3 linked regions of the Danio rerio genome follow. The main gene of each other region encodes a partner of the protein of the gene in region 3 in a complex. Links are inferred from orthologs where the notes say so. Each region holds a gene or a part of one and is shown on either strand. Other genes may lie near its edges.

Region 1 (4,376 bases), on a different chromosome or scaffold from region 3:
AAATAGCATACTAGAATTTTTCTTAAATGATTTCTTAAAGATGACGAGACAACAACAAAAAAAACACTTGATAATCAGGAATAAATCATTTAATATATGTATATATGTCATATTACTGAAGGTTTACTTTATTTCATAAACATAAAATAAGATTTTATCTTTAAACAGTATCTGTGAAAAGCCGTTTTCTTGCTGAAAACATTCTTTTTATGGGAAAAGCTAAAACACAGATCAAGGTTTTATAACTTTGACTTTAAGCTCTTTGATATTCATTTATATTAATTTTCCTTCGCTTAATCCCTTAATTCATCAGGGATCGCCACATCGGAATGAAAAGCCTACTTTTCCTGCATATGTTTTACACAGCAGATGCCCTTCCAGCTGCAACCCAGTAATGGGAAACACCCATATACACTTATTCACAATCATACAGTACGGCCAATTTAGTTTATTCAATTCACCTATAGTGCATGTATTTGAAACAAGAAACACAAGAAACCCACGCAAACACTGGGAGAACATGCAAACTCCACACACAAATGTCAACTGACCCAGCCGGGACCTAAACCAGTGACTCTTTTGCTGTGAGGCGACAGTGCTAACCACTGAGCCATTGAAGCTCTTCAATATTACATTCAAATGTAAGCTTCAATAGAAAATACCTTGAATGTAAAACCGGAGGCATCATGAAATGTTTAGTCATGTCTTCACTTTATGCTTGATATAATCAAAGATTTTTACACAGTTTTTTACATTTATCAATTCAATTTGCAAGTACAACCCAAGGTGCAGAGCATTCATTCAAACACTTATAGAAGATCAGAGACAATCTCGAGAAATTCATCCTTAAGAAAACAAAAATTAAATAAGTTCATATTCATTTCCATACAAACTGCCTAACGGATCATTTTCTGTACATTATTTATTAACAAATGGCAGTGAGTGTATGCATGGCATGCATTCCACCATAGAATAAAAGTAATATAAACTATTGTTATTAGTGATAATAACTGCAAATGTATATCTTGCACAAAGAAATTAAAAAAAGTCATTTGTAACATAAAATATAAACTCAGAACTGAAGATAAATGTAGTATGGAAAAGTATTTTAAAAAACATGCACTGCTAATTTTCTACTTCTATGAATTCCACTGAAATTTATCGATATTCAAAACAAACTTTAAAGACCTTTTATGCTCAACATATCGTCTTCTTAGTGTTAGAAGGTTCACTCTGGCATTTTTTGTCAAAATTGAGTTATTGACATATTCTTATTAAATGACAACTTATTTACATTATGGGATGTTTTTTATAAGTTGTTTACATTTTAAGACATTTTATTTAAAAAACAAATGTTACACACATACTGTTTGCTATTGAATGCAAAAACTTTGAAGCTCAATATCTCAAAATCATTCAGAAGCAGATAGAACCTTAAAATTCCAAAGTGACGATGTACTGATTTTTATTTAGAGCTGCATTAACTTTCAAATAATTAAAATGTTAAATTGTAAATTGTGTTTAATTATTACTTATAGAAAGAGCAAGCCAAACAATCCTCCACATATCATTTATTGCAATAGTCTTTCATTTATTATATGCTGGCACTGAAAATAATGCAAGTTATGCTGGCAATGGCACTGGCAAATAAAGAGTTAAATAAAAAACATTTTTTTGAATATTTTTCATATTGCTGATATTTGTCACAATATCTTCCCAGCAAAGTAGAAAGTAGGAATCCACATTTCAAGAGCACAGTATCATAATGACATGAATATTCTGGCTCCCCTCTACATTAACTTATAATCACTACTCTGTAATCATCACAAGCCCAAAAATTCAGACAACACACAAAAACAACAGGATTAAATATGAAAACAGTTCCCAACACATGTCATCATCATCATCATCATCACACATGTCCAACATGAAAATAGGGGGATCATTTCGTGGGTGGAGTGAATTACACAGTTTCAAAACAATAAACGTGTAATGCGATCGCCCCGCTGTAGTACATCATCATCTAAACTTACAGTACGGCTAAAAAACATCTGATTTGGGGAAAACATCTGACGGCGCGAGACACATAAACAAAACCCTGTGGGAAGCAGAGCTGGTTTTGTTACGCACGAGTAAAAATACAACTTTACGTTAACTTACCTGCAGCTCGTGGCAGCGTCTACTTCATCACCAAAAACAAACCTCTAAATGAATGTAGACATACGTTGTATTATAAACGCTAGTTACACATTTGTTACCTTGACATTTTGTTTAACATATAACAAAGCCACATATTACGCCACACAAAGGTGTTTTTAACATACATAATCGCTTATTATCCTCTTTAAAGGAGCAAACATGGGGTATTCAAAATGCTTCTATAAGCACAAAGTACCGTTAATACGGTTTACAGTCGCGGGGCCTAGAGGACGGTCCCAGCGCTTCAGAGGGACTGGAGCGAGAGGAACGCAGATCCGCTGGAGCAAATCCGCATTCCAGCGCAGGGAGAATGTGCTGTTCACTCCTATCCCACTTTAAATGAGAAACACGGCCTATTTACTCAACTTACACGGCATTTACGAGCGCAAATCAAATGCAGAATCCCCTGAAACCAACTAATGCCCAGCTTTTTGAAAAGTTTATAAAGTTTTGAGCGACTCACCATGTGAAATAAGCGGTGCCTTAATCCAAGGAACTGATTTAAACTTCAGTAAAGTTGCGGACTATCTGTCTAAAGATTTGTTGGCCTTTCTTCGTCCTCTCATAAAAAGCACGGAGTAAAAATCATGGGATTGTCCTCCATTTTCTCGCCACTCACGGCGGAATTAGAATGCAGTACAAAGTTGGACACTTACTGCATTGTTAACATTCCAGAGGAGTCACGTGAGGCGGCCATGCACGTCAGCGCTGCACATACCCTGGGCGGGGCTTCCGACATTTACAACGCTGAGATTCTGATCTGATGCACACAAGCAGATATGTGCAATGGCAGGAGAATATTTCACTATTCCCCTACTTTGCTGGTCTATTTTAAGTTGCTCGCATAGGTATTACCGTTATAGCCAAATAATTAATGTTATAACTAAATAGTGAATGAAATAACTAATTAGTGAACTAAATAGTTCCCAGATCCTTCTTGGGCTTCTCACTCAACTGATTGCTGCATTGCTTTCTTCAATCAATCACTGGTTTGTTTCAAGTCCTCAAAGAAATGAAATATTACATATAATTAAGAGACCAAAGACCTTAGATTGTAAAACAGGAGATTTGTAGTTGACACATGCCATTTCATGTTGTAAATGAATAAAATAACACTTTCATCTGTTCTTATTTACCTTGTAAAATGTATTTTGAACCGGTATCACTTTATTTCGATGGTCTCTTTAATGCAGTTTGTTGAATTGAAGTTACATTGCATATACATGCCAACTAATTCTCAACAGATTATGTAGACTGATAGGTTGGGGTTAGGGTAGGTTGACATACTTGAAAATTTCTTATAGTCAGTGAAATGTCTGTTAAAGGAACTGTATCGGCACATATTAGACACTCTACTAATACACAAATGAAAAGTAGGGTTGTAAGGTTTATCGGTACTATGGTAGTATCGTGATACTATGTCTTCATAATACTGGCAGTGCCACTGTAGTTTGTTAGTATTGTCATTAACAGTCTGTCTACAATATATAATGTTGCATGTGGAAAAGTCACTAAAATGCTCAAGTTTCGGCAACAATAGACCATTGTATTTTAATAGTCTATGGAGCCTTCTAAGGTTGCAAAACTGTGTAGAAGTCACACTTTTTAAGGTAGCCTATTGCATATTTTTCTGATGCTTCAGTTTGAATCTAAATTCATTAATTTCTGCTCCTGTCAATACAGTTTAAAGGGCCATGAAACCCCCTCGTTTCAGCAGGGTGTTTTCACACCTCTACTTTGGAAAAAGTCAGAAAAGTGGGCGTGTCCAGCTCTGTTTAGGGGGGAGTGTCGGAGGAACTAAAGTGGGATGGGGGAGTGTCGGAGGAACTAAAGTGGGATGGTGTGGGAGTGTCTATTTGGGCACGCGCGAGTTTCAGTCAAAATACACACACATGAGAAAGTGATGGTGTTTAACCTACATAGACATCTGTAGTCGAATTATTTGACAAATTATTAAATGTTGGACTTTAACTGCAGTTTGGCTCTTTCATTCAGGGAATTCATTCATGCCCCTCGCGACAAACGTGATATTTGATTCGAGGATCTGCTCTAAGCGTGTATTTTTCATGCAATGTTTGATACCGCACGGCGAATGAGAGAAAAAAAAACTCTGCATTTCCCGGAAACTTAGATGCACACGGCAGGTAGCGTCAGAAAGCCGCGTTTGTTATTCCGGT
Region 2 (3,618 bases), on a different chromosome or scaffold from region 3:
CTTTTAAACAGGTCATAATTTTCACTAATTGTCCATGTAAAGCTTATTAGTACAACCAACAAATCCATCTAAAAAATGTTTAACAAAGTTAAAATTAACTATTTAGCAATATGGTTTAATTGTCTTCATTACATCCTTACGATTTGTTTACAAGTTCTCCGTGTTTTCATGCTTTAATGCACACATTTATAAATGTTGTTTATTATAGCTTTAAAACTGAGGCATTTTGATTGTCTTTAATTTAATATTTTTGATATTTCTCACTGCTATAATATTTTTTGTTCATGCTACATTGCATTTGTGAAAAGTATTTTGTTTTGCTTTGATTTTCAGAAGACTTGTAGATTAGTATCTCAATGTGAGTCTCAGATAAATAAATGACACCAAAAAATACTGTTTTTATATATAGATTATTCTAGATTAAAATAATCTAGAAGTTAAAGGTGTAGTTACCCTCTAAATAAATATTAATCTTGATTTAGAGAATTCTGAAAATTTATTGAACATTAGAAAACAAAATTACATTTAAAAAAAATAAATTTATTTTGTGCATAAATTTTGTTTATTCTAGCTTTTAAAACTTGTCTTTTTTAAAAGAATTGTTGTACTAATAAAAATATATAGAGAGTTTGACAAATTATTTAAATAAATAACTGAATTTTAATTTTAATTGGGCAAGTAAAAAAATTCCACTGATTATAACAGAAAAGTATTAGTGTTTTGCCCAGTGATAGTCTGAAATTTCATTGATAATGGTCTTAAAAAGGTCTTTAAAAGTCTTAAATTTGATGTGATGAAACCTGCAAAAACCCTGTTTTTACTCAGACATTTAAAAAGAGTATATATTAGAGCAGAAATCACAATACTGTGACATCGTGATGTTTTTATCCAAGGTTATCATACCATCAGATTCTTACACCGGCCCATGCCTATAACTGACTGCCAGATTTGAACACGTCATGCAGTTTAAAATAAAGATTTTTACTATTAAGGGAAAACCAAAATACTATTCTACAGAGCCCTGAGTGAAACTTTGTAACCCTCAATCAAGCGTTTTGATCACCTGCTATGAGTCTGTCACAGTGCTAAGGAGGAACCACCTTTCTAAGGTCACGCATCTCAATTTGATTCAGGTCAGGACTTTGACCAGACCACTCCAAAACCATTCAAACACTTTTCACTCCGGGCTAAGTAGTTTTCCCTTAATAATAAAAACCTCCATTTCGAAATGCCATGATGTGTTCAAATCAGAGTACAAATCTATACGGGGGCTTCATTGGGATTTACTTGCGCATTCGTTGATTTTGTTTGTTTATCTGTGTTTAATTAAGATTGGAGTTGAACTCATCAGGAGAACTCACCTTCATCTGCGTCTCCAGAGGAGTTGTGGCCAGAAACGGAGGCTGACCGACGACCATCTCATAGAGGATAACGCCAACACTCCACCAATCACACAGCTGCGTGTAGCCTAGGATTCAAAACAATTTATCAAGCAAAACAAACCATGTTCTAAAGTAATACAACTTTTTCTAATTCTTTCTCTACCCTAAATCATAACAGGAGATAGTGTGAAAAATGTCCTTGCTCTGCTAGACATCTCTTGGGAAATATTTGAAAAAGGGTCTAAATTTCACAGGAGGGCGAATAACTGAGTGTTCGGCTGTAATGTGCGGCTCATACCGGTGCGCAGCAGAACCTCGGGTGCGATGTAATTGGGCGTTCCCACTAGAGAGTGTGCCAGGCAGCGCTGGTGTTGTCTAGCCGCTCTGCGCTCCAGGGGCTTCAGGCGATCCCCGCAGCGGCAGTTTGCGGAATCTTCCCACTCCATACTGAAGTCCATGCTGTCCTGACGCACATGATCACCTGACGACACACACACACCGCAAGTCAACATCCAGACCTGTTTTTTACACCCGAGCTCTTATTTACAAACCGGGGTGGAAATGTGCATACAACACGCAAAGGTTGTGATCTATAAAAATAAAATGACAGGAGAATGTGCACAGCTGTAAATAAACACTAAGTAAATATGTTTACCTTAAATATTGACATGAATGATTTTAAATGATCATATGAGGTATAATCATTAATAACTAAATGTACAATTTATTCTGGTGTATTTTGCTTGTTGACACCACATATGTAAATTTAACTCCTCCTAAAATTAAAAATGCAAGTGAGTGTGCACGTGTTCTGGGCTATATGACCGCATAAGCAGCAATAACAGAAAGCACACAGATGACAGTCTGAGAAGTTTGTTTACTTTCTTTTTAAACATTTTTTCATTCATTCATTTTCAGCTTAGTCCCTTTATTAAACTGGGGGTCGCCACAGCGGAATGAACCGCCAACTTATCCAGCATTTGTTTTACGCAGTGGATGCCCTTCTAGCTGCAACCCATAACTGGGAAACATTTTTTTATTTAGTTTTAAATGATTAAATGAATATCATAGGGAAGCATTATTAATAGAGATGCAGCACACACCTGTAGCTGATCTCTGTCGACAGACATGAACAAAAACAGAAATATAGATCATTCCTTTACAATTATACGGCTGTCTGAAATACTGGGTTCTGATTGGTCAGTCGCAAAATTCCATGGTATGTTGTCGCCACTGGCTTGCTTGGTTTGGGACTTGTGGAGCTGCGCATGGATGGATTTGCTCTTCAGTGTTTAGGCTTTCAGCAGTGAACATTAAACCACACTGAACTGAACTCTGATAACTGGACTGACACAGCTTCAGTTTACGAGAACATCTGTGTTCAGCTGCTTTGACACAATCTACATTGTAAAAGCGCGAGAGAAATCAAGATATTTGTAGTGAATTAACATTGCTACCAAGTTTCTAGCATGAATTAGCATGTTTGTAGTAGTGTTGTCAAAAGTATCAAGTTCGGTACCAAACGGTACTGAAATTTTAAAAATGTTTAAGGGTCACGAAACACCAAAACACATGTGTTGAGCTGTTGACAGTGGTATATGTGTCCCACACTGCTAAAAACACTATTAGGACACCTATATTTCACTAAAAAGTGTAAATTGGTTGTTTTGCGTTATTTCAAGCAAATTCGTATTTCCGGTTTGAAACGAATTTTTGAAGCTGCGTCACGGTCATGACATAATAGCGTGTATTCCAGCGTGCAGACTGGACGTCTGTGCCAGAGTGAGTCTTATTACGTCTTACAGTGTGCTGCATTAATGCATGAGTAAAGCTTGGTTCAAACCAATCAGCGCGCTCTATTGTGCAACTTCATTAATATTCATTACTGTCACAGTGTTTAGACGACAGAGACGCCACGTTGTGTTGGCAAAACAAGCGTGAAGTGTTGCTTTTATAGTTTGCTGCAGTGAAGTTTTGTTTTCATTTTCTCTCTGTGAGAGCGCAGCTGGAGTCACGTGTGGATTAACAGTGTATGCGACGCTCGACAACAATAACTTACGTGTCTAAGGAGGATTATTGTTTACCTGAGAGCTGTTCTCATCTGCAAACGCTGAGATCCAGATTCGCTGCTCGTCTCCTCTTAATAAAGGCGCGGCTCTAGTTGCTGGTGATTGTCCTGTCTCTACAGATTTGGTAAGTGAGCGACCAGTGCTCTTTGTTTATTCAGTTTGTTTGT
Region 3 (4,388 bases):
ATTGCACTTTATAACCTATATCCTGCACTTGATGCTATGGCACTCTTGGTTAGGCCAAAACTGAATTTTGTTACCTTGTACTTGTAAATTTGTTATGACAATAAAGCTGAATCTAATCTAATCTATTTTGTAACTAATTATTTGTGTTATAATTAACACCAAGAAGCAGTTTGAGCAGAAATTAAATTGTATTCAATGTTACACTGCACTTAAAAAGTCAGCTACATTGTGGATAACCTAAAATGGGGAGAACTTTAACAACATATTTGTATTTTGGGTACTTGTTCATGCTTAATGTCTTCATGGGTCACATAAATCTAAAAACCCATGGTCTGAACGAAGAACCCAGATGGGTTTTGTGCCTTGGACACAGGTTAGGTTAGTAAGTTAGTAGCCTCAGGTCTCGGTTAATTTAACATTTAGTGTGCTTTTGAAAATGCACCCAATAAGAAGGCCCATGCGGAAACTGCGCGTGCAAAAATCCATCAAGCCTATTTATTTACTTCTGTAAATGTGTGTAAATTTATATTCATTCAGTTTTTAAATTAATTTCAGTAATATTATTGACTAATATGAAAATTTTTATATGATTTTTAACTATTTAATTTGTAAAGTAATAATTGTCTTTTAGTAGATCAGTTATCAGAGTTGCTTTGCTTACCAAATAAGTGGATCTAATTACATTTGCACTGTAAACGTTAAATAAAAGTTAAAATGGTAATATTTAAAGTTTTATTTTTAAGTTTTAATATTAAGTTTTTAGTTACGATACTACCAAAATTATTTCACATAAATCTGCTAATTTTTCATTACAAAATGCTGCGTAGAAATAGCAAACAATGTCTGAACATTCTCGCTGGTACTACCAAAAAGACATGAAAACTTATAGGATGTGATCATCATAACTGAGTGATAAGTAAATGAGCTTTAAGAATTTCAGCAATCAGCATGTACTTGACCAATTAGACTACTGGTATTAAATTTTTAAGAAACTTATAAAAAAATGGAAGAAGCATTTGAAACCTCAAACAAAGAAATATATCCTCATTGAAAAAAGATAAAAACCAGGAAACGCCATTTGCTTTATTATGCAGTGTGTTAAAACAATGTGTTTGTGTGTGTGTGTGTGCGTGCGTGTGTGTGTGTGTGTGTGTGTGTGTGTGTAGAAGCCACTGGTCACAGTTAAAAGCTGGGCCCAGGAATAACTGGTTTTCTGGAGTCAAAACTATTCAGTTACAGAAATTGAATAATAAAATCAAAATAACATTGTATAGTCTTTATTGTATAAATAATTCAGTTAAAGTATTATTCTTTAAAGTCACAAATTAACTTTTTGTGCCAAAACGTTTTAAACTCTTATGACATTGCCTTAAGAAACACATTCAAATTATAAACTTTCACTCTGTTATGCTTATACTTTGCAAAGACTCCACAAATCTCATTTATTCTCAACTGTTGTGCTGATCAACTATAATAACAACTCAACATTGCAGATCCTGCGATGTGACTATTGCAGACACACACATAGAGATATAAACGCTGAAACAATATATTGTGCAGCCCTACTTCAATGCAGTTTACTTTTGGGTTAAAAATAAATGCCATTGGGTCAGACTCAGGTCTAATTTGATTGACTTTGTCTTGGGTCAAGATTTCCTTCTTTCATTTCTGTAGATTGGGTTCAGTGAGTAGTGATTTGGGAACAGATTTTAGGCTCTAAACTACAATTACATCTCACCCGTTTATCAGGCTTCAGCCAGGCATATGTGTCTTTTACTGTGTATCGAAGACCAAAAAACCACGTTTCCCTCAGGCCAATGGTCCGGCATACCAGGTCAAATAAATCTTTCCCTTTCCATTTGACCTAGAAGTTATAGACAAACATTAAACTTTGTAGGACATTTTAGGACACAGAATCAGACAGACACATGTATTAAGTATTTCCATACGTTTACCTCACAACTAAACTCCATTTCAGCATCCATAGTGCTGACTTTGACTTTAAAAGTCTTTGGTTGCTTCTTTTTCAGACCCAAAATTGACATAGTGACTTTATATACACCTGAAAACACAAATAATTACTTTAATACCTCAATATAGTAAAGTATATTTAGCATTTAACAAAATGAAGCTAACATTCATTTACTTAAATATATATCTAAAAACTAAAACAAAGTGCATCAATACATACATAAAAAGATAATTTAGACATTTTAAAAAGTCTATCAGAGCTTTAATTAGAAAATTACTTCAACTTATTCCTTCCCTTATTATGCATCATTATTATCATCATTTATCTAACGTACTAGTGCTACTATCACAAGGCAGATGAATGAAGTCAGCCACAGGTAAGTCGCATTCACGAGTACTTTACGCAAAGTGCTGTAACTTAACAACTGTAACAATGCCCACTCTCCTTAAAATAAACACATTGTTAGTTTTCAACCTTTATAAGTAAGATATAACACAATCTGCCTTGTTATATCGAGCGAGAATGTAGAAAGCGACTCACAAAGCTTAACGTTAACGTTACATCCTGGCTAACGTGACAGAAAGTAAGCTGGCAAATTTACTCCCTTTACAGCGACACAGTATACGTTTAAACGATAAGTATAATCCATTCTGAACACTGTTAAAAATATGTGAATGAAACTAGCCAAATATCAGTCAGTTACCTTGATTAGGTTATGTGTTAAACCAGGCCCGATCCACAGCAAGGAGTTTCCAGGCACTCCGCTAAACCACAACAATGCAAACCGGATTTCGTCGGTCACCTACATGGAAATGGTTGTAAGCTTGTCCGAAACTGTAGAAATCGTTTAAAGAGTGTCCATTTTGGTAATAAACTATTAACTGGACGATTGTGGAATATAAATACGATGTTATCTTGAGTAGAAAATGTTGGATAGGGAGTTAGCAGGACTTTGTTGTTGGTTTTCTTTGCCGCCCTCTTCCTGCTGGATGGAGAAGAGCAGTTGAGGAATGTTCATGACGGTGTGTATACAGTGATTTATGTCACTCTTTCTATGCTCAATAAGATCAATTAACGTCATTTATTATGTAAGTGTTAAATGTTTTATTTTGTTTAATTTATTATATTGGTTTGTTTTGTAATATCATGCTGTTTTATATCAAGTATTGTACAGTCAACTACACAACACAATTACTGCTAATTTAGCCCTCTGAAGTTGTTGTGATTTAGTTTATTTTATTGGTCTATTATGTAATATCATTCTGTTGCAAGTATTGTATGTACAGACCATTTTGAAGGATGTAAACAAAAACAATGTGCCCTTTGCATTTCCTGTTTTGCATTTTTAATTTCTATAGCTTCGGAGAATCCAAAAAGAGCCACATATGAATAAATAATGTTATGATAGCTGTTTTAATATTAAGTTATGATTGAATTGCCTCTTTACATTTCTGATATAATTTGATAACAAGCAGGAACTGTTCACGGGCCAATGATATGACCACATTGAAATGATCTATAACAGTTACTATTTTAGCCCTTTGATATTATTAGAGTGGTTTGTAAAATGAGTGTAAAATTGTAAAAAGTTTTTATTTTAGTGAAATGACTGTACTGTATTTTGTATTATCTGTAAAAAAAAATCTGTAAATCTGTATTTTGTTTTATATTTTGTACCAATAAGGGAGTTTATGCTTTTTTTAATAATAAATTTCCAACTTTTAAACAGCAACTTCCAAAATATTTATTTATTTATTTATTTATTATATTTTCAGATAAGACACTTGGTAAATTATTGCTTAGTTATAAAAAGTTTTATTTAGTTTTAGAGTAAATCATGATTTATTTACACACACACACACACACACACACACACACATAGCCAAAATAAAGCAAATAAGACTTTCTCCAGAAGAAAAAATATCAAACATACTGTGAAAATTTCCTTGCTCTGTTAACTTCATTTGGAAAATATAAAAAATCAAAGGAGGGCTAATAATTCTGACTTCAACTGTATGTATGAATATATAATTTACTCTAATGCTAAATAAAACTACTTTTTTTTTAAATACTCTTTTAAAATATTTTGGTTGAGTGCAGTGCCAATTTATTCCACTCGATGAAATGTCATGTACTGCATAGCAATGGTCTCAAACTCAATTCCTGGAGGGCCGCAGCTCTGCATAGTCCCAACCACCTCCAACTCACACCTGCTTAGTTTCTAGTAGTCTTGAACACCTTGGTTAGTAGGATCAGCGGTGTTTGATTAGGGTTGGAGCAAAACTGTGCAGAGACCATTGCTGTATAGTATCTGCACATAACTACATATTATAATAAAATGTCTGTAAAATGCTTCTAAAATTATCTGTAAGATATTGTCCTATAGATAGACCATTTCAATATGACAATACCATTA

What was found.
Region 1: the proteins of nf2b (region 3) and lats2 are in contact, whole or in part, in a crystal structure (PDB 4ZRI), measured with the Homo sapiens proteins. The link is inferred for Danio rerio from reciprocal best matches to the Homo sapiens genes NF2 and LATS2. Residues at the interface, in NP_000259.1 of Homo sapiens: Pro135, Glu136, Ala137, Val139, Leu140, Tyr144, Asn175, Leu176, Tyr177, Gln178, Met179, Trp184, Arg187, Trp191, Glu206, Lys209, Ile210; in NP_055387.2 of Homo sapiens: Tyr73, Ala76, Leu77, Glu79, Ile80, Arg81, Ser83, Leu84, Leu85, Phe87, Ala88, Asn89.
Region 2: the proteins of nf2b (region 3) and lats1 are in contact, whole or in part, in a crystal structure (PDB 7LWH), measured with the Homo sapiens proteins. The link is inferred for Danio rerio from reciprocal best matches to the Homo sapiens genes NF2 and LATS1. Residues at the interface, in NP_000259.1 of Homo sapiens: Pro135, Glu136, Ala137, Val139, Leu140, Tyr144, Asn175, Leu176, Tyr177, Gln178, Met179, Met183, Trp184, Arg187, Trp191, Glu206, Ile210, Asp213, Leu214, Glu215; in NP_004681.1 of Homo sapiens: Pro69, Lys70, Phe71, Gly72, His74, Ala77, Leu78, Glu80, Ile81, Arg82, Ser84, Leu85, Phe88, Ala89, Asn90.

The regions. Positions count from the first base shown.
Region 1 is NC_133184.1:22,891,759-22,896,134, reverse strand, and holds the start of lats2 (serine/threonine-protein kinase LATS2), read right to left. Parts: upstream 2,831-4,376; 5' UTR 2,663-2,830; intron 1-2,662. UniProt on the Homo sapiens protein: Negative regulator of YAP1 in the Hippo signaling pathway that plays a pivotal role in organ size control and tumor suppression by restricting proliferation and promoting apoptosis.
Region 2 is NC_133195.1:1,290,063-1,293,680, forward strand, and holds part of lats1 (serine/threonine-protein kinase LATS1), read right to left. Parts: intron 1,864-3,618; coding exon 1,681-1,863; intron 1,469-1,680; coding exon 1,362-1,468; intron 1-1,361. UniProt on the Homo sapiens protein: Negative regulator of YAP1 in the Hippo signaling pathway that plays a pivotal role in organ size control and tumor suppression by restricting proliferation and promoting apoptosis.
Region 3 is NC_133196.1:27,247,564-27,251,951, reverse strand, and holds the start of nf2b (NF2, moesin-ezrin-radixin like (MERLIN) tumor suppressor b), read right to left. Parts: upstream 2,908-4,388; 5' UTR 2,676-2,907; exon of another isoform or gene 2,296-2,675; intron 2,063-2,295; 5' UTR 2,046-2,062; coding exon 1,956-2,045; intron 1,865-1,955; coding exon 1,739-1,864; intron 1-1,738. UniProt on the Homo sapiens protein: Probable regulator of the Hippo/SWH (Sav/Wts/Hpo) signaling pathway, a signaling pathway that plays a pivotal role in tumor suppression by restricting proliferation and promoting apoptosis.